Linked DNA regions of Schizosaccharomyces pombe. The gene in region 1 interacts genetically with each later gene. Each region holds a gene or a part of one and is shown on either strand. Other genes may lie near its edges.

Region 1 (7,791 bases):
TAAGAAAATAATAACAAAAATTAATAATAAAGCTAAACATACAAGCACAATATGTCAATCGACGACATCAAGTTAAACAAGAAACCATGGACAAGGAAAATCAAAATAATTAAAAGGAATAGTGTTCCTAAAAACAGAAACTTTCTTTCTCTTAAAAGTGTATTCCAGCTAAGAAAGAAATATTTCGGAATATACGACTAAAACCTGCTTTAATAACTCGAATGAAAAGTTATTACGGTAGTTTCCGTACACTCATTAGTAGTATACAATAATTAGAAAGCAATGACCTGCAAAGTGTACAAATCATAAAGTGTATCTGAAATCAAGATTCTCAAAATCTGTAAGATCTTCAAATTCAGCATTGGGACGATGCTCAATCTTTCCCTCCGCAGCCAATTGATCCCTACGCTTGTTTTCTCTCCAATTAACATAGTAAAGAGCAGGAAATGTGACTAAAGTTGCTGCATAACAACCGACCATGGTGTTCTTAGCAGGCATATATTCAGGAGCGTCAGCAGCTTTGAAAGTTTGAGGGCCGATTAAATTTCCCACACAGTATCCGATAAGATAGATAACACCAACAGTGACTTTCTTTGTATAACCAGAGGCGTTGGAAGAAATGATGGCGAACATGACAATCATGGCACCTGGAGAAACCATCAATAAATAGTAACCTGCAAGCTGTGCACGAGGAGGACCAGCGAAAGAAAGCAAACAGGATCCAATCAAGGCAATACATGTGGTGATGGTAGCCAAAACCATACGTTTATGAATGAACAAACTCAAAAACCCAAAGGCGATCAATCCACCAAATTCACAAGCGCCGGCAGGAAGACCCATAAGCAAGGTTTGAAGGGTATCATAACCCATGGTACCTTTAATTAAAAGAGAGGAAAATGTACCGATACCACCATTGGGAATATTCAAAAGAACGGATGAGACAAACATAATCCAAGTACGAATATCAAGCATGGTTTCCTTAAACTGATACAATTTAAAGTGATTATTACCAACACCTTGCTTGTTGGCACGAAGACGCTTGACAACCAACTTACGATCTTCTTCAGTGAGAAACCAGGCTTTGAAAGGATTGTCGGGAACGACGGCAAGAATGACAAATCCCAAGAAAATGGCGAGGACACCGCAAATAATGAAAATAAGCTTCCAACCTCTCATGGGAAGACTGGTCCTCTTGGCCAAACCATAAGCCATGCAGCTACCAAGGATCTGACCCAAACCATTAAAAGCGACCCATACGGAAGTACGAAGTTGTTGTTCACTGCGCTTGTACCATTGAGCAGTGAGAAGAATGAAACCAGGACTGGCGGCAGATTCCATCATACCGAGAAGCACACGAAGAGCGATAAAGCCAGGATAGTTGGCAACTGAGGTCATGCAAAGCAAGAAACCCCAAATGACTAAGAAAACACACAAGGTCTTGGATAAAGGAAAGCGCTGAAGAAGAAGAGATGCAGGGAATTCGAAGACAAGGTAACCCAAGTAGAAAGCAGTACCTGACCAACTATACATTTGACCTTCCATCTTCAAGTCTTCTTTGAGACCCATGATAACGGCATAGGAATTTGAAGTTTTGTCCAAAAATTGGATGCAGTATACTAGACACATGACGGGGAAGATTGTGCAATCGATTTTGCGTACCAATCTACGCTCCGTTTCTGGATCGATCTCATCGTAGTCGACATCAAGGGCGTAATTGAAAGCAGCATCCACGCCTTTTGGCGAGAGATCGCCAACGTCGACATCGAGAATTTCCTTATTTTGGACACTCTCGGGATCTTTCAGCTTTTCGTCTATACTGATGCTTGACATTTTCTCGCTAGGCGCTTAAATATCTAAGCGGGATTATGGTAGTATGTCTAAAAGTAGTAGAGAAAGGAAAGGGAAAAAAGAAAAAAGAATTAAAATTAGAGGAGGGAAAAGAGAATGAAATTTAGTAAAAGCTATTTTCGCCAACACTTATAATGAGTGTAGTCGGGTTGTTTTTCTTATTGAGGATCGATATACTAATGAAATTGGCTTGTAGCATTGCAAGGTGATCCCTTCCTTTTAAACCAGGCAGACAAGCTCTTGACTTGGTTATCTGGCATCCACCCTCCGGTTGGTGTACCCGGTTTGTAATCTCGAGTATGTTCACTGCATCGCACATTTTCCTACATACCAAAAATTCTACTGTTGCACCTATCATTAAACATTGCAATACCTACCAACTCTACCTGGTTTTAGCACTAAATACCCGATATCGTGCTACCCCATTGTTCCTCCAAAGATCTTCTGAGCCCGGAGATATAGGAGAACTTGATAATGTTAGGTAAATTGGCAAAGTTGATGCGTCAGTCTCCTATCTATTCGTCAAGTTTCATCGTTTAAACAAACATCCAAGATCGGATATCAGGGGCGTAAAAACCGTAAATACTTGATAAAATAAATAAATGATGGAATGAAACGCTTCCTAAGCAGTCGAGCCAACATTGGGTCTTGCATTTCTAACTTTGCAGGAATTTCTTGATGAGAAATGGGGAAATCAAGACGCATATCATTCATACGTTGATTTTTCCTCATCCCAACGCTAACATCGAGCTCCCAACTCATTTTTTAAATTTTTCGTCCAAGCACTCATAGCGCAGCTTATCACCACTTACCACATATACTAGTGTAAAACAGTACTGATCGCTCGCCATGCTTAGATATGATTCCACCAAGATAGCAATAGATGTCTAAGTCGGCTATAGCCACCGGAAATATAATACACTAAGACACTGGGTATACCAAGAAGAAATGATAGTGTCATCCATCAAGGTCATTATTTCGGATTTAGAAAGGCTAGTGATATTTCTCTAAAAATTGCACAGTGATTGTGGAAATGCGGTGGAAGCCGTGGGGCTATCAGGATAGGATTGCTAGGCATGCCGCCATTTCCAAGATAATGGGCGAGTACGCAAACGTGCAAACCACTGTTAACGGATGGGCCCCGAGATCTCCGAGAGCGAGGAGAACTGGAGCTGGAGTTGCTGGAGTGAATTCCATACACAAAAATCGAGGGTTTTCTGTTTGGATAAATAGCTTAGAATAGTAAATGCTTGAGTTCCGCTGCATTCTCACTGCATGCATGCTAGGATGCAGCCCCATGAGGATAGGAGTCGTAGTGGCATGAGTAGAAGCGAAGCTATGGAGTTGGAGGATCAACTAGAGGAAGAAGAAAGGGGTGGTAATGTTGTTGTTGGCAGCAGCAGCGCGAACGCGAACGCGAGCACAGCAGAAACTGGGAAGAAGAGCGCTGGAGGCTCAAAACCGAAAAGAAGAAGAGGCGAGCGAATTCCACCTTCAAAAAGGATTCGAAAAGCTATTGCGTATGTAAATAAATATGCATCTGGTTGTTTTGGTCGAGTTGAAAGACGTTTAGTTTGTACGCGTTCGATCAGCCGCCATTCCAACCAAAAGTTGCTTGATTTGTTTGTTATTACTATATTTATTGTTTTCGTATTATTTAGTTGATCTATTGAATTATGTAGTTGTTTCTTTATTTCCTTACTTTACAATTTTTTTTTGGTTTTATTTTTTCTACTTTTTTTTTGTCTATTCATTCAAATGCTAATATTAGTTGTGTGGAATGCAAAAAGCATAAAATCAAATGCGTCGGTAACTTTCCCTGTGGCAGATGTCTTAAAAAAGGATTAGAATGCGTAATAGAAACTCCTCCTAGATTGCTTATGAATAAAGACGAAATTTCTCTCAATCTTCAGAGACTCAGTCATATGGAGACCATCCTTTCTAAACTCATGCCAAGTATGAGCTTGGATTTGCCCAGCTTGGAAGCAAAGATTGCGGAGCTTAGTGAAAGCCTTCAAACCTATCCTGATAAAGTACTTACCGACATCGAACTTGGAAGCTATCAACAAGTGACTTTGAATGAGACACAGACATATTACGAAGATGCCGGCTCTAACGAAAGCTTCGTCGCTCGCGTGCACGAGATCATTTGCCAGGGCAGGGAATTTCAGGTGCAGCATAAACTCACTAACGTATGTATTGATGGATTCATCTACTTCATTTCATACCCTTGCTATGTTGTGGGGCATCATCGATTTTACTGTTCTTTACTAACCCGTTTTTCTCAATAGAAAGGAAATAAAACATTTGAAGATATTTTAGATCCCGCCGATAATACTGTCGCCTCTTTAATCCATGCATTACCCCCAAAGGATATCACTTTTTATTTACTTATGACATTTTGGCAATTTTCTAGTGACAACAACCATTTTTATTATAATACCAAGCTGTTTGCTGCAAAAGTCCATCATCTTTTCGATGATCCAACTTCCTTTCAATCAAAAGATGGTGGTTTTGTGTGTATGCTTCTTCTGAGCATGGCCATGGGCAGTCTATTCTCCTACATTCGCCATCCAGAGTTCCTTTCTGATGAAAATCACGATCGTTGGACTTATCCTGGCTCTCAGTTTTACCAAAACGCCAAACTTCTTTTTCCCAAAGTCATCAGTGAATCGTCGTTGGAAACAGTACAGTCTTTCTTCCTAGCCGGTATGTATTTGTCTCCAACATTGGCACACGAAGTTGTATACATGTACTTTGGTATAGCTATGAGAGCTGCTGTTGCCAATGGTATGCACAAAAAGTCTGCGAATGCTCAATTTTCCGGAGATGTTGCTGAACTTCGTAAACGGCTTTTCTGGAGTGTATATTGCATGGAAAGGTAAGGCTGTTGAAAACTTCCCAAGATTCATGTCTGGGAAGAAGAAGAGAATTTTTTATTATTCCTCCTCATTATTTTATGCTAACGTTTAACTTTTAGAAAAATAGGTATTTCTCTGGGCAGGCCCGAGAGTCTTGTGCGTTCCGAAATTGATATTCATTTTCCAGAATACCGTGAAAGTTTAGATTCGCAAAACTTCATTGCCAGCTTCCGGACCTTCACCTTAGCTATTAAAATTTCCCTTCTAACTAATAAAGTCTATGACATGTGGTATTCCTCGCTACATGGAAAGGCGAACTTAAAAGCAGCTACCATTAAAGAGATTGTAAACGAAATTGAGGCATGGCGCCAACAACTGTCTCCTGATCTAGAAATACAAAACATTGGCCCAGATAGCAGGTCTTACAGAGGTATCGTTCATTTGCATCTAGCTTATCATATTGTTCGAATTGCCATGGGCCGACCGTTCTTACTACACCGGCTTCGTGAAAGAACGATGAATAGTAAGACGGATGAGGGAGCTAGGCTTCTTACTGATAAGTTAATTTCATACTGCTATTCATCCGCTTTGCACATTGTCGACCTCCTTGTACTACTAAGAATGCACAAATTTCTATCTGTCTATTCATTTATGGATTACCATTCATGTCATGCCGCCTCTTTTATCATTCTGGTGCATCTTCTAATCAACCCGTCTGAACAAACGATCGAACAACTGAATACGGCTATTGACATTTTGAATTTTGTTACCGACAGATTTCCACTTTTAAAAGGAAGTACGGATGTCATAACTAACTTGCGGGCATTTGCTGAACAAAGCGAGGTATATCAATCAAGGCTTAATGCTACCGAACCAGCTTATTCGACGCAGGTGCCTTTCTTCCCTAGAGATGCTGATTATCATAATCAAATCAACCTACAAAATCTTTGGAATGATGAAAATATCAATGCCTCACTAGAGGCACTTTTCAATGATGCGAAGGGTTTTGGCTTTTTACTCCCCGCTGATAACTTCATTTTCCCTAGTGACGATGGAGACATGTAATGATGGCTTTCTTTCGAAACTACTCAAACCTGAATTTTAAAAAGGTCGATATTTTAATTTACCCTTATTCTTTTCTCCTAGTTGGTCTACCTTACTGAACATATTTACTATTAAAGCAAATGAAACTGAAAGTTAACCCTTTTTCCCATGGTCACATTGCATCCTTTTTTTATATGATCAAATCATGCTGATTTGACCAAATCCTTTTCCAAAAAAAAAAAAACAAAAGATAAAAAAAATAGGCAGTTGCATTTTTTAATGAATACATAACGTGCATAACTGTTAACACAATTTTACTTCTAACTTTATTGTATCTTTCCTTTTGTCTTATCTAGATTAAACCCGTTTTAATGGTTCTCAATTAGAAGCAATTGTTTTAGCTTGGTTTCTAATTACCCTCTTAAAGGAATTAAAGGCTTCAATTGACGAGTGTTGAATTATTGAACAGAAAACTGTACATACACATATACAGTTGCGATTCGCTGAGTATGATAGAAATTTTCGTTATTTCATTTTATGGATATTAGCAATTCAATATTTTAAGTATCATAAACAAGCTGAATTGACAATCATTTTAACGTATAGTCCTTTTGACTTTCACAGTCTCATATAAGTTTCCTTGTGTAAACGATAACTATGGAAATACTGGATAGCGTCTGCAATCAAGAATGAAAAATAATAACTAGAAATGAATTCAACTAACTGATTAAAAAAAAGGAGCCTACAGCACCCCGGATTCCCATGTTGTCTCCAACCATAGTACTAACGAGGCCCTCAGACGCTTAACTGCAGTGATCGGACGGGAACTGGTGTTTTCACCTAGGTATGGCCGTAGACGTTCGATAATGTAATAAATGATTTTTATAGCGTTCATTAGGGGAATGGATAAAGGTTCTTTAAATTTATTTCAGCCAATATTCCCTTAAAGAGTTTCTAGTTGGACGATTTAACTAATTGATTGACTCAAAATTTAACAATTATTATAACGCTTTTGTATATTTCTCTTCAACTTTTCTACCAAAGAAAAGGCTTCTCTTGATGACTAAGTATTCGACTGTCAAGTTTTGTCAATTTAGTCTCAAATATTTCGGTCATGGAATCATGCTTCCTCAGAGCTTAAAATAGGATAAACGAATTCGGTTTAGAGAGTTTTTTTGCATACCTATGTTACCATTCAAAATCGCAAGATGGAGTTTGGTGCACATATTTAAACGCAACTTTAGAAGCGAATAAGGCCCCTTTGAAAAACCGGTGCCCATGCCATATAATGCTTTTGAGTTTGAGCGATACAGATGCTGCAGTTGCAGAACCTCGAATTAAGGCATAGCTTGAAATAGCTCTCATGATTTGCTAGACTATTATGTGGAAAACACAACAGATATTCAATTGATTCTACATTTGGCAAATATTCGTTGCAATGAATGGGAATGAATACCTCGCCCATAGTCCTCAATGTTCAGTGTAAAGCATCAGCTAAGTGAGAAATCTGCAATAGTCGCAGTAGTTGCAATGTCGATAGTAACATAAAAATGCTATACTTTTGGGATAAAAATTTCTCAGTCACGATGCTTGAGAAACTGCATTGATCGATATTCAATATTTGCAAGTTCTGATTCTTGTTACAACTTTAGGATATCATTTTTATGCGAATTTCCTAAAAAGGGATTTTTTTTCCTTGACCAGTTTACTCATTGATTTATTTCAACAACCTTCCAAAGAACTCCAATGCTAAAAGTATCACTTGTCCTCACACTTCTGAACTATTTACTCTTAAGATTAGATGAGAAACTCACAATTCAAGCTGAAGCGAGCTCTGCAAGTCATTAAAATTATTCAATTCCAACAACTAAGCAAAAAATTATTTAAAGTCAAATAAACAAATGAAAAAAATAGTTGCGCGGCCAGGTTTCGATCCTGGGACCTACGGGTTATGAGCCCGTCGGAGTTCCACTCTCCTACCGCGCACAAATACCGTCACCAGCAGGATTTGAACCTGCGCGGGCAGAGCCCATTAGAT
Region 2 (6,853 bases), on another chromosome or scaffold:
ACTACCTTCCTCCGAACTGTCGAAAGGCAACATTATCTTTTGATGCTCCTACTGTTCCTCCTCGCAAGTATCTTGAGACTTTACAGCCCAACCAATCGGTTTGTATTGCAATTGGTGCTATGGCTCATGGTCCGGACGATTTTTCGGATGGTTGGGTTGACGAAAAAATCAGTATTAGTGACTACCCTCTGAGTGCAAGTATTGCTTGCTCTAAATTTCTTCATTCTATGGAAGACTTTCTAGGAATTGTATAATTATTAAGGTAAAAATTTTTGCATTGTCTTCATTGTTATTCAGCTTATATCCTGTGCTATAGATATTCACTTTTTGATATAGCTTGAATTTTTTGGTACGTTTCGTACTTTACATTTTCTTTAGAGAGTATTAGAATAAAATAACAACTATAATTCTAGCTTCTGCAATTACAAAAAGAAAGGAAACAATTTATCACACTACAAGGCATTGAATTAAACCATTCCATACACTTTTAAAGTTTGGGAATTACAACCTAAGACAAACTCTTAATACTCACCGATAAAATAATTCGGTAATATTGAATGACTCACAACACTATGAAGCTCAATATGAGAAATAGATGGATATTTGCTTAGAATTAGACAGATGATTAAACCAAATTATTCATAAATAAGCAATCCATTCGTTAAAAATTCCAAAACCTAAGTACATTCATACTAAATAGAGAAAATGATAAATAACAAAAAAGGTACAACTAAATGAAAGAAACGAAATAACAACCAGTAAATCACAAACACAACAAACTGAAAACAGTTCCTCAATTATGTTAGGAGCAATTTAAGGAAATTATCGTTTTCTCTCATTCCTCCACTTGTATACCGGTTTTCCGTTTACGACCTTCTTTTTCTGACGGCCTCCTTTTCCCTGTAAAAGTCTATCAAGCTCGACACGTTCTTCAGCAGCCGCCAATTTTTTGTCGCGTTTCTGGCGCAAAAGAAGCTCGGTCGCCGCCTTTTCTTTTAATTTTGAGTGCAATTTTCCAGAAAAAGGCTGGTTTGTCAGTTCATTGTTTTCAATTTGATCTTTCTTTACACGATTTTCGGTTCGACCAACCAGATCATCTGTAGTTTGGAAAAATTCAGCTGGGTTAAAACTTTTTGCCTCTTTAACATTGTCTACGAAGATGGTGTGCTTCCTGGATTCATTTTTATTCCGATGAGCTCCCACAGTATGCATTTGTTGTTCCAAATGATCAATTTTAGCACGTTCAACATTGCGATGATGCCGAATCCAGCCAATGTCTTGAGTTTTCAAAATTTTGATTGTGTCCATATCGATGGTTGAATCCTCGCGCTGTTCAAGGGGTACTCCATTTTTGGTCTTTTTGTGTGTCATTTCATGATAAAACTCATCAGGGTTTCTTTCAAGGGCTTTTTCACGAAGACGTTTTAACTTCTTTTGCTTTGTCTTATAATCCTGAGCACGCTGCGCATAATCCTTTCGTTTCTCTAGCAAACCCCATTTTCGTCTTTCAAAAGGCTGAGCTCTTTCTCGATGATTTTTCCTTTGACCTGCATTTTTAAAAGACGAAGACATCTTTAAAAAAGTTATGGTTAATGTTTGGCTGTTTGTCAAAGAACCGAATTATTGGCTTTTAGCAGATTCGCCTCTGCAAAATATTTGTGTTTAGGGCACTACAAGTGTTAGCGTGCAATGTGCTCAGGACGTTAAGATACGCTATTACCCCCTTGGCTAGTGCTTGTATTGTTTACGATTTGAAGTTATACTGTTAATACTCTATAGATATAATCAAATTTTTTAGAAAGAGTCTTTGGCTGAATGGTGGCTTGTTAGCTTTCTAGTAGAATTGGAAAGTTTACTGTTAATGTGCAGCCCATATCTATCAGTTTAGCAATACTTATTATTAAAAAATAATTGTCTTAACTTCTCTATAAAACTTTTTATTCATTGATTTATTCTGCTCAAAAGGAACGGAAGCCTCAAGATAATTTATTAATTACTGAAAAATAAAAAATAAGGAAAGTAAGAGCAACGCATTAGGACTAATCGCTATGCTGTCGTTAACATTAACTGTCATCGATATCTCACTACATTACACATTACTTAAGTTTAATGTCCTTAATCTTATCCATTACGATGCCGTCGTTCCCAATGTATGTGCTTGTGGTTGACATAACTCAATTGAACAAAAAGTGCATCTCTTTGTTCTGTAATTCCACTGAATTGGTAAATAATGTTAAGCATTGTTATACCGATTATCCTTCAGTATGGCTTTATTTTAAAAAAAGATTTTGTTAAATAGTCATCGTAGTTTACTGTATCCTCAAAGCAGTTATAGATGCTGTAGCTGACGGCAAGTTGTCTTTACACACTTCCCACAATGAAAAGGGAATAGATCAAAGAAGAGAAAAAGCTGTTACTGGTGAGTGTAAAACGCTTGGCACAACCGAGAGTTTCATAGCAAGTATATTAGATTTTTGTTATTCGATTCAGAAGATTTAATTCATTAAACATTTGTACTTTGATTTTTTCTTAATTTACCCTTAATGCTTGTACAATATAGAATATTGACTGCAGCCTAGCAAAAACTAGGGAACTAATATTTACATGTAATATGCGTTATTAAATGTGTATTTTTTTTTTTTTTTTTTTTATGGGAAATATAATTAAATTCGAACTGATATTAAATATTATTTTTAAATTTAAAAAAAAAAAAAAAGGATCTATAATATTAAAATTAATCCTAACTTGCTGGTACTTGAACGAACTCTTTATAAAATGACTGTTTAGCAAATAATTGGTTTTGTTACACATCAAAAAGAAAGAAGAAACTAAGACTAGTTACATAGACAAATTTTTATATGGATAATTGCAACAGACCCTGTAGAATATGTGTCCCAAAATCGCGTAAAATACGATAGGTGCATTTAAATCGCTGATAAAATAAAGCAATTAATTTAGGAAGCAGTTGTCTGTGAATTCTAAAAGTATTGATAAATATAAACGATATTAGCCAAAAAAAATTTAAAAAAAATAAATTCTCTTATGAAATTATCAGGTATATAGCCGTTTAGATTTCTTTTATACTCTTTAATTTTGCGCAAAAATACCTATCTTTAAGAATATTACTATTAACTTATTAATTTGGTTCGGTAAACTCGAGTTCGTTAGGTAATCGAAAATTGCTTGACGCTAATGTACCCTCTGCGAACCTGTCCATAACCAACATTTCTTTCTCCGATATCGGTCATGTCGGTCGAAGAACCTGGGATAGAAGCACATGGTCATAAAGATCGGATGCTTTATGCCATGTTGCTAAGTAAAGATACTTCGCTCGCATTTTTGGGATCGAAGAAGATTATGATAGATATCCTTCAGCATATTTGTCGTACTCAAGGTAATTTAGACTTCTAGACTACTAATTTTATGAAAACTGGTGAAGTTCTTTTTGTTCTAACTTTTCATTTCAGATATTGACGAAGAATCAGCTATTGCTGCCTTGGAAGATATTTTTGAAACTTTACCACGAAATCTTTCTAGAGATGCTCGAAAACAAATCGAAATAACAATAAATCATTTGGTCAGTAGATTACCTTCAATAGTGCTTCCTTTCTTAGTTCGTCGGCTGACCACCATCGCTGGAAGATTGGATCGCTTCAGGAGTACTGTCTCTGTATCATTTGATTGTCTTAACTGGGTTAATTCAATGATTCCCAACCTTCCAGAGAAAGAGCTACAGTATTGGATTTTAGAACTGCTTCCACTACAAAGCAGTTTTTTATCATATGCTCTACGCGATGGAAAACCCAGTGTTGCTGACAGTGCCATAAAGTCTACTAGGAGATGCTATCGTTCTTTATTTTGCAAAAAAATGGACTCCTTGAAGAAGTTGGTTAGTTTTCTGTTGACAGAAACCGAGAATGCTATTCTTCCACCCAAATCTCTACCTTTGTATGGTGTTATTATTAGCACATGCTACTATTTTCACCAATCTCCCAATCCTCGCAATGAAATTTCTCAGCAGGCTGAGCTCTTTTCAAAAATAATGGCCCAAAATGTTTTAATGGCAAAACCTGCACTTGAGAAATACTTGTATCATGAATTTTGCTACAGTCTTGGTTTGCTTCTTTCAGTAGATCAATTGAAGCTATACCTACTTCCTTCCATTGAAAAAGCTTTACTTCGCTCTCCAGAAATTATCTTTTCAGGTATACTTTCTTCTCTGGCTCATGGTTTCGCGGATTCAAAGGTGGATGCTTCTTCTTTGATTCTCTCGTCTGTACTTACCTCGTTTGTGAACGGACTGAAAAGCTCAAACGCAGAGGTTAGAAGAAACTGCTTTCAAACGTTTAAGGATTTATCAGCTAATGCGAGTGATAATGAATCACTTTCACGCGTTGCGTCTGAACTGATTACCTCTCTTAGAACCGGAAAGGTTACGGCTTCCGATCAGCGTGTTCTTTTTGTTGATGCACTCTCGAGTCTTTCTCTAAAACATATCGATGCTTCAATGCTGTTGAATGAATTATTACCTCTTTTTACTAAAGCAAAAGAGAGTGATTTTAATTCGCTTGCGTCATTGATTGTTAAAACGTTGAAATTTTTGTTAATGAATGGTCGTAATCCCGGAGACAAAATTTACGATTTTCTCTCTAAAAGCCTACAGAGACCTGTCGCTCATGAGTCGATGTTTTGGCTCACATCTTTAGCTACAATGGCATGGGATCTTCCTGCATCTGATGATGTTCAAATAGAATTTATCAATTTCTTTTTAAATAATTTGTCTATTCTTACGGAAAAGGCTCTAATGTCTGTATCTGGTGCTACTCAAAATGGTACATACTTAGCACCTATAATTTATTTAAGTTTCGGTGTTAATAAGTTGTCTGTTTGGAATAGTGAGAGAATATCCCATACTCTTGAATTGCAGGACATTTTAGTAAAACTGTCAACTCCCAAAAATAATGATGTTTTCATTTTCTCCAGCAAAATTACCAATAAGCTTAATGATGATCAGTCGAAACTTTGGTATTTTCAGGGCCTCTGTGATTTTGCAAAAGTTTCTGATAATTTGTTATTTTCCAATTTTGTTGAACGTTGGTTTCAATCGGTCATCGGCGTTTTTTCTTTTGCTAGCCGTGAAAATTCTAATCGTGCGCTAAAGATTCTTAAATCGGCAATACTATACCGTCCCCATCTTCGTATGTCAATTTGCTCACAACTATGGAATTATCATGCTGATTTCGAGAAGTCCAAGAGCGTAGGAAAGTTTGACTCAGCCAAATACGATGAGATTTCCTCATTATTTCAATCCTTAATCCTTTCATCGATGTCCGCTGATACTTCTAACTTTTCAAACCAGGAACTTGTTGACTTCGATAAATATTTGGTTGAACTCCTCTTCCTCTCCTTTGCATTTAAGGATAAGTTTGATTGGATTCGCTTCTGTCAAGTGTCTAAACGTGATCCCGCTACTCTTGTTTCTGAACGCATACACAGTATCATCGAAGAAATAGAGTTGTTACTTTCTTCTGCTATCAAGGACTCTAAAGAGACAGCAGCTATTGCGTCTATTTCCATGATTGTTTTTGTCGCTCCTGAAGAATCAATACCTTTGTTCGTAAATGTTTTCCGTAATCAATTGTTGCACCTTAACATTTCTTCTGTATCAAGTACGGATTTAGAAATTTGGAAGACCCCTGAGGGTGTATTGTGGGATAACGTTTTAGAAAAAAAATCTTCAAAGAAGCTTGATAAGAATACCAAGGATTATGAGACTAAGAGATGGGAAGCTGAAGTGAGGGCGAAACAGTCTGCTAAAAAGCCTGCGAAGTTGAGTAAGGATCAACAAGCTCTTGTTGATGCACAACTCGATGCTGAAGCTAAAATTCGTAGTCGAGTCAACTTGATTGCACTTTCATTAGAAAGGGGATTAGGCATTATTCGGAGCTTAGGTGAGGCTGTGCAACTCGCACCTGCCCTATGGGTTGAAGATGCTATTGATGTCTTACTTTTCCACAACGTTCTGAAATATAGTGAGCCATTTCTTAAAAACTTGGCCTATGATACTTTTCTGCTTACTTTGAAAGCTTCTGGATTTTCTGAACGATTAGGTGATAGATCTTATTCATCGAGTCTCGCCTCTATCCTTGCCCATACATTTAGTGTAAATTCTTCTGAAAATATTAAGGAATTAACAAAATCCATACTTTACAAACTTCGCTTTGCCATTGAGCAAAACTATTTTGAGCCACAAATGTTTGCATGCATATTTCCATTACTTTATGACTTGACCTTTAATATCACCAATTCTGATGAAGAAGATGAAGCCGAATTACAACTTTTGGTTACAGAAATTTTGGAGTTTCAAGCACTTTACTCAGCTTCACTAAGGAGAATGCGTTCAAAGCTAATAAAATCATTGCTGCACTTACTTGAGATTGCACCTACGCAGTATCAGGAAAATAAAAACTCTTTACTTTCTCTTTGTGAAGGGTTACACTCGACATATACCGATGAGGAACTTAATTTATTATTAAGTAATCTTTTTCACCCGGAAAGTAGTATCCGATCAGCTGTTTTGCAAGCTTTACAGGCTTTTGATTTATCACGTTTTGAATTTATTAAGGAAATCTTTCTGGAATTGTATGATGATAATGAAACAAATGCATCTATAGCTCATCAAATATCGACCCAAAATGGACTTGATGCTACCGAAACTTCATTTTTTGAACTTCAAATATTTTTTACTCAAGATTCGGACTATCTTCAGCAGATCATTGGTAAATCTTTAATTGATTTGCTTGACGAGTTTGAAGAGCTTGGTCAATTTATACCGAAGGAATTAATGCGAACA
Region 3 (6,393 bases), 700 kb from region 1:
CCGATATTTCAAGCCGGGATGAATCCTCCACAGACTTAAAAACATTTGGGCGAGGATATTAAAAATATATTTTAGAGCATTCACAAGATGTGGAAAGCTTTTCAACGAATCTGAATATCTTCGGAAACATTGAAAAACACGTAAGATGCCAGGCAATGTGGTAAAGAAACCTAGCAAGGGAGAATGTGATGAGTTACAAAGCTGTGGTTGTCGCCAAAGTCGCTTATAAAGGCAAAAGAACAAAGATATATTACCGCATGCATAAGTTAGACTAACCATTTGATCAGCAAAAAAGAAATCCTGAAAATGGACAGTAGAAAGCCCAGATAAAAACACACGGATAAGCTGAATTATCAAGTATCTTCGCATTCTCCAATAGGGAACAATGACGGGGGCTATTAAAAACGTGCCCACTACTCCCAAAAACAGGGCCGGAAAATATATTGTGAAGCCAGGAAAGAAATTTCTCATACACAGGAAAAAGAACAGCGAAAAAATAAAGAAGACTGCTCCTACGATCTCCAAATGCTGACGCCAGTTTAAAGATTTTCTTTGATTAAATTCGAAAATAAGCATGTAGTTAACCCGTGTCTTCTCCCACACGTAACAGTCTAAATCAAACAGTACGAACGCAAAAATTACTAAAAAAAAACCTCCCCATATCTGAAGAAGGTAGGAGGATTGCTCAGTAGCATTATAATAGCAAGCAGCCTCTATAGCCAACGGTAAACCTGCACCAAACAAGAGTCCAAATCGCATCGAGTTTGCAGAAAAGTGCTAAATAACCCAAGTTAGTAATTAGAGTATAACGTAAAGTCCAGATGCAACTGAATTATACTTACCTCTTTTTGACGAAATGACTTAAGATGCTCTAAAGCAAGCTTCTTGTTATGATTGGTAAAAAGACGAGCATATATGTCTTCAACATGCAATTGCCAATTTGTAGTGATGCTGAAATCTGTGAACGTATATCTGCTCATATAATCAACCCAAAAGCCCTGAAGATCTGTATGTAATGTTTTATCATACTTTTTGACAATCTTTCGAAAGGCTTGTTGATTAAGATGCTGGTACTGAGAAACCAATTTGAGATAATCATAAAAGTCCAGCAATGTCTAGTTGAAACAATTAGCAAATTTACAAACATCTATACTATGAAGGAAAAAAGCACTGAGGCATACCGTTTTCAATTTAGATTTCAGTTTGCGATAACTGACCATCGGAGTATAAGCATCAGTTGGGACACTCTTCCTAGCTGGGATATGATAAGCAGGTTGAAGTCGAGAAAAATTGAGGATTGAATCAAGCCTTTGTCTGAGTTTAGAGTGCTGTTTCTGTATTAATACAACAGATCCCGATTCAAGGGTCCCCTTTTTGAATGCACGAAGCTTTTCATATATATCGACCTGATCGCTAATAAGATCCATTCTTTCTCGCGCATCAGACACCAAATTTTCAAAAAATTCTTCCACCTTGTTTGCTTGTTGGTCAAGAAACTCTTGAAAAAGGGGATGAAACCGATGAATTTGCCCTAGGTCAAAAGCAGTTAGAAATGCATTTTTTAGAGATGTCAAAAAACGTACCTCGTCTGTTTTATTAGTCAATAGTGCAAATTAAATAAAACTTACTTTACAATGGCTTCTTCAGGTGTTTCTCCCAAAATCCCTGAAGTACCATACAGACCCTCAGAAGGATTCTTTGCAATGCCTGCGATTATTTTTTTCCCCTTTTTGTAGTCAAAATAAGCAGAAGCCCATTCTACTCGAATTAGCATATCCGAACGTCAATTATTTTTCAACTACAAACTAGCATACCTGCAACAGATTGTCCTTCGATAACCCTGTACAGTTAGTAAGCTTCAGAACTTTCAAAAAATCCTTACTTTCCGAATTTCATGTTCAAATAATTTTTAAAATTAATTACATAAAAGAAAGAATATATGTATATATATATATATTGACTTAGGAAACTCTTTTTTGCAAAAATTAAAAGGCAATATCCTTCAAACGACTTTAAAGCATTCAAAATTCTTGATATCGAAATATATATCAAAATTAAGAAATTTAAAGCATGTATAAAATTTAGGAATGTTTTCTGGTTACTTTGCTTTAGATAGAATGTTGGTTCTAGTTGCCCTTATTAAGATAAGTACACCAAGTGGTATCTGCAAAAAAGGTAAATTTAGTGGTTCCAAGGGATTTATATTTTCATTTAACAATGTTTAAGTATCGTGAATTCTCGGTTTAATTCTTGTGATCTCGTGGTTAATATTAAGAGGCAATTGTTAATGGATGCCACAAAAAAAGTTAAGTAGGGCCATTATTGGGGAAAATGCGCTTTAACATATGTATTGTAATTATTTCACTTTTTTTTGTTTATTTTTCCTCAAACTTTAGAAAAATCACGATTAACTGATCGATGCGATCTAATTATGCTAATTATGATATAAGCGATAGCGAGTTGGAGGTCTGTCTTACTTTACTTCAATTCATAAGATTAATTGTTTAAAAGTAGATAATCTAATGGTAGTATCTTCTGTTCCAATCCTCACAATGGATGATAGCTGTGTTTATTGGAGTTAGTCGTCAATGCATTTGAAGGACAGGAATTTTGCTAATGTAATGAACTACTAGATTTTTAAGTTAACATTTGACGGAGTTCGTCTATTTAAATTTTCCTTTAGCTATCATAGTGGTCCGTAATGCAGCCTTTTATAAGTCTTTCTGCAGTCCCTGAAGCAACAAATTACTCCATCATGTATTCACTATTAGAAGAGAGAACTAAGAAACTTAAATGAAAACATAACTATAATTTTTAACTTAAATAATGCTTGTCTAGTCTTGTCTTCCATAGTATTTATTTTTTGAACTCAGCTTCATCTGTCAATAATGCAATCGAACTCGCTTGGATGCATTTCTTTTTCTATCATATGAAGGCTATCGAATGTATCAATTTATACAAAGGAATAATTCAGTAAAGGCCAATAATTGAATATCACCTGTTTCACTTATATATTATATATCCTAACCCACGTTCCGCTCCTAAACCACCAAATTTACATTGAGTAAATCTGGTTGCAGCAGACTTTCTTTTGCAATGAATGAAACAAACAACACTTCATTGCTTCCAGTATCTTCTTTACCTTCAGGTCTTCTGCCTGTTGGTTTTAGTTGTACGGTGGAAAAGTTTTCGGTTACAGTAAAACGATACCTTGCTGAAGGTATGTAAAATCATCAGCTTCCAAATGTTAACAGCGTATCTTTAGGCGGCTTCTCTCATGTATATTTGGTACAATTGGTCTTCCCAGGAAAGCCACCGTTTGAGGCAGTTTTGAAACGTATCTTTGCAACGGATGCTATGGCCCTTCGAGCTGTGCACGAAGAAGTACGGACTATGGTATGTCCTTCTATCCTGTATTTTGTTGCTCTCCAATTTTTTACTATAAACTAACGACTTGTCTTTAGAAACTTGTTAGCAACCAAAAACGGTGTGTCTCATATTATGGCTCGGAATTTTTTAGGACATCAAAAAATCAATTCGAGGTCCTTGTACTATTGGAGTATTGCCCTTGTGGAGGCTTGATTGACTTTCTGAACACTAGACTTCAAGTTCGTTTATCAGAACAAGAAATTTTGAAAATAGCTTCTGATGTTACTGAAGCGGTTGCAGTAATGCATTACTTGAAGCCTCCGTTAATTCATAGAGATCTCAAGATTGAAAACGTGTTACTAGCTGCCCCAAATTCGTACAAGCTGTGTGATTTTGGTAGTGCATGTCACCCAATACCGGGTGCTAAAACGGCCGCTGAGGCCAAACAGCTAGAATATGATATCGAAAAATTTACTACTTGGCAATATAGATGCCCTGAAATGATTAATGTCCATAAAGGATTTGGGATAGACGAGAAAAGTGGTATGGTTTCTTTGTAACGTTATTAGAATATATTTCGTTAACACTAGCTTTTAGATATCTGGGCGCTAGGGGTTTTGTTCTATAAACTATGCTATTACACAACTCCGTTTGAACATCAAGGGCTTGCTGCTATTATGAATGTTAGTTACGCTTTTCCAACCTTTCCACCTTATTCAGATCGGTTAAAGCGACTAATTTCAACCTTATTGCAGCAATATCCTTGGCAACGTCCTAATATCTACCAAACCTTTTGTGAGATTTGTAAGATGCGTAATGTTCCTATACATATCTACGACATATACAACGGTAAAAATGTATCCAGCTGCAATCCTTCTGGTTCCGAATATCTGCAACATGCTTCCAAGTTAGAAAACAGTGGAATTCACCAGAGTAAATCATCCGTGTTCCCTCAGCCTGCTTCTGCTATGAAGCCAATGGCTTCTCCGATGTTACCCAATGTAAACTCGATGCCTTATCTTTCTAACGGAGATCATAATAATAATGGAAACACTTCTTCTCCTGTCTCAAGGTTTTCGTACGGTCAACATACTTCAAATGTACCTTCTACTCAAAAATTACCTAGCAACTTCCGAGTTACCCAAGGTGCACCACCTAGTCATACTTATGGACCACCTCCACCCGTCCAGCCAAAACCTAAAATATCTCCTACGACTCCTCGTTTAAGCACATTAGCTCTGGCTGACGATATGTTTTCATCTACGGCTAAAGAAACTGTTCCTACAAACGAAGCTGTCTTTACTGGTGATGTTAAATCTTTTGATAGTCAAGAATCAAATATTATAGAAAGTGAACCTCTTTCAGCTAGTAATGCTTCGGGAAAGCCAAGGACTAGTGTTAACCGTTTGGTTGATAGGTACAACCATACATCAAGTTTAAACAAGGTAGCTGCTGCTCCCGCTCCTGTCCCAAAACCTGTAAACTTAAAATCTGTGGAAAACCCACAAAACAATATATCTGCGCCTACACCCTCTAGTCTTCAAAGTTCCAATGCTCCAGTTGGGCTAGGCGAGGTAGAAAGCAAAAGTGTACCTCCAACCAATATGGCCACAGAACGAGGTGTGGTGGGAAGACGTGCCAGTATGTCTATTGCTGTGAATGCACGACGTGTCTCTAAACCCGAAAAAGAGCATACGAATCCAAACGCTGAGCAGGGCGATGTAATTCCCGAAAAACCTATGAGTATAAAAGAAAGAATGAATATGCTTATGACCAAGACTGATTACGAAAAACCGAAGGTTGAAGGCTATGGCCGTTACACCGACGTTCAGCAAACGAAAAAGTAATATTTTTATCATGATCTTCAAATGACCTTACGGATAAGTCAAATAATGTGGACATTAAGTATCTATATTTTACAAAATTTTATTACAATTTCTTTGTATATTTCTTTTTGCGCTTGTTTTTTTACCAACTAAGTTACCGTTTTGTTTTGGAATGTTTACCATCGAGTATGATGTTGACGAGTAAACAACCTCATTGGCAAATATCAGTTTAAGATTTCTCCAACAACTATTTCCAATAAATAAAAATATACATTCATTTTGATAACAACCTAATATCGTGCTAATGACAGAAGAACTTTTTAGTAACAGTGAAACTTGCAGTTTGTCGGATCCATTGACATCTAAAACATTGTCAAGTATAGAAAATCCTTTTGATGATCCCTATATATTAAGTGAAGAGTCAGAAATATTAACCATCAAAACTGATGTGTTACGACCGAATATTCTGAATAGGAAATCGTCTTTTTATCCTGAAGCTGATGCACCAGTTCGAAAATCTAATTTACAAGTAAAAAAAATCTTTGAAAACCAAGTTTTAAATTGTGATGGTATAAAAGTAGCAATAACGATTCCTGATACTTCCTTAATAGCTGGATCCTTGTTACATGGCAACATTTGGTTATCCTACGAAGGGGCAAAAAACGTGGAAACCGGTGTTTGGATAAAGGAAATGTTTCTCGATTTCTATGGTATTTTGAATTTTAAAGGCCATTCAGAACCTTTCTATTCTATCTCTGAAAAGTACTCGTTTTGCAACCTTAAGACATCTGCACTGATTCTCTCAAAGGCAGCTTCTGCCAGCATAGGCAACAAGGGCCTTTTCCTTAAATGTTCTTGTAAAGTTGGGTTTCCTTTCTCCTTCATCGTTCCTTTGGATATAGGTCCAGGTACTTATCATTCATCGAAATTAGAACTGTTATACTATATTTCAAGGTAAAAGATTAAACCGAAAAAAGTAACTGACATCTTAGTACGCTGACTTTAACATCTCTGGATCAAAATATTCGCTGTACTCGTTGTACAATTCCTAAACGGGTAATCACTTCAATGCATAATAATATAGCGGAGCTATATAACCCGATCTCATGCATTAAAAGCCTACCCTATCTTTCATTAGAAGAAGCAAAAACTACCTTGGAGGTTCATACGGACAGATCCTTGTTTTTTAGTGGTCAAA

The links.
Region 2: mutations in SPOM_SPCC417.09C (region 1) and gcn1 together harm fitness more than expected from each alone (negative genetic interaction), as found in Schizosaccharomyces pombe (one large-scale study listed by BioGRID).
Region 3: mutations in SPOM_SPCC417.09C (region 1) and ppk38 together harm fitness more than expected from each alone (negative genetic interaction), as found in Schizosaccharomyces pombe (one large-scale study listed by BioGRID).

The regions. Positions count from the first base shown.
Region 1 is NC_003421.2:1,689,765-1,697,555, reverse strand, and holds SPOM_SPCC417.09C (transcription factor), read left to right. Parts: upstream 1-2,971; 5' UTR 2,972-3,123; coding exon 3,124-3,470; intron 3,471-3,619; coding exon 3,620-4,040; exon of another isoform or gene 4,041-4,139; coding exon 4,140-4,729; intron 4,730-4,828; coding exon 4,829-5,774; 3' UTR 5,775-6,337; downstream 6,338-7,791. Other genes in the region: dipeptide transmembrane transporter Dal51, read right to left, coding at 304-1,830.
Region 2 is NC_003424.3:2,223,734-2,230,586, reverse strand, and holds the start of gcn1 (translation initiation regulator Gcn1), read left to right. Parts: upstream 1-3,196; 5' UTR 3,197-3,246; coding exon 3,247-3,394; intron 3,395-3,467; coding exon 3,468-6,853. Other genes in the region: rRNA (pseudouridine) methyltransferase Mra1, read left to right, coding at 1-254; U3 snoRNP-associated protein Utp11, read right to left, coding at 823-1,572.
Region 3 is NC_003421.2:2,389,176-2,395,568, forward strand, and holds ppk38 (Ark1/Prk1 family protein kinase Ppk38), read left to right. Parts: upstream 1-3,043; 5' UTR 3,044-3,096; coding exon 3,097-3,220; intron 3,221-3,265; coding exon 3,266-3,396; intron 3,397-3,464; coding exon 3,465-3,912; intron 3,913-3,966; coding exon 3,967-5,216; downstream 5,217-6,393. Other genes in the region: spx2 (SPX/EXS domain-containing protein), read right to left, coding at 1-777, 843-1,115, 1,182-1,531, 1,584-1,588, 1,629-1,758, 1,815-1,840, 1,883-1,896; arrestin family membrane adaptor Mug170, read left to right, coding at 5,500-6,149, 6,188-6,393.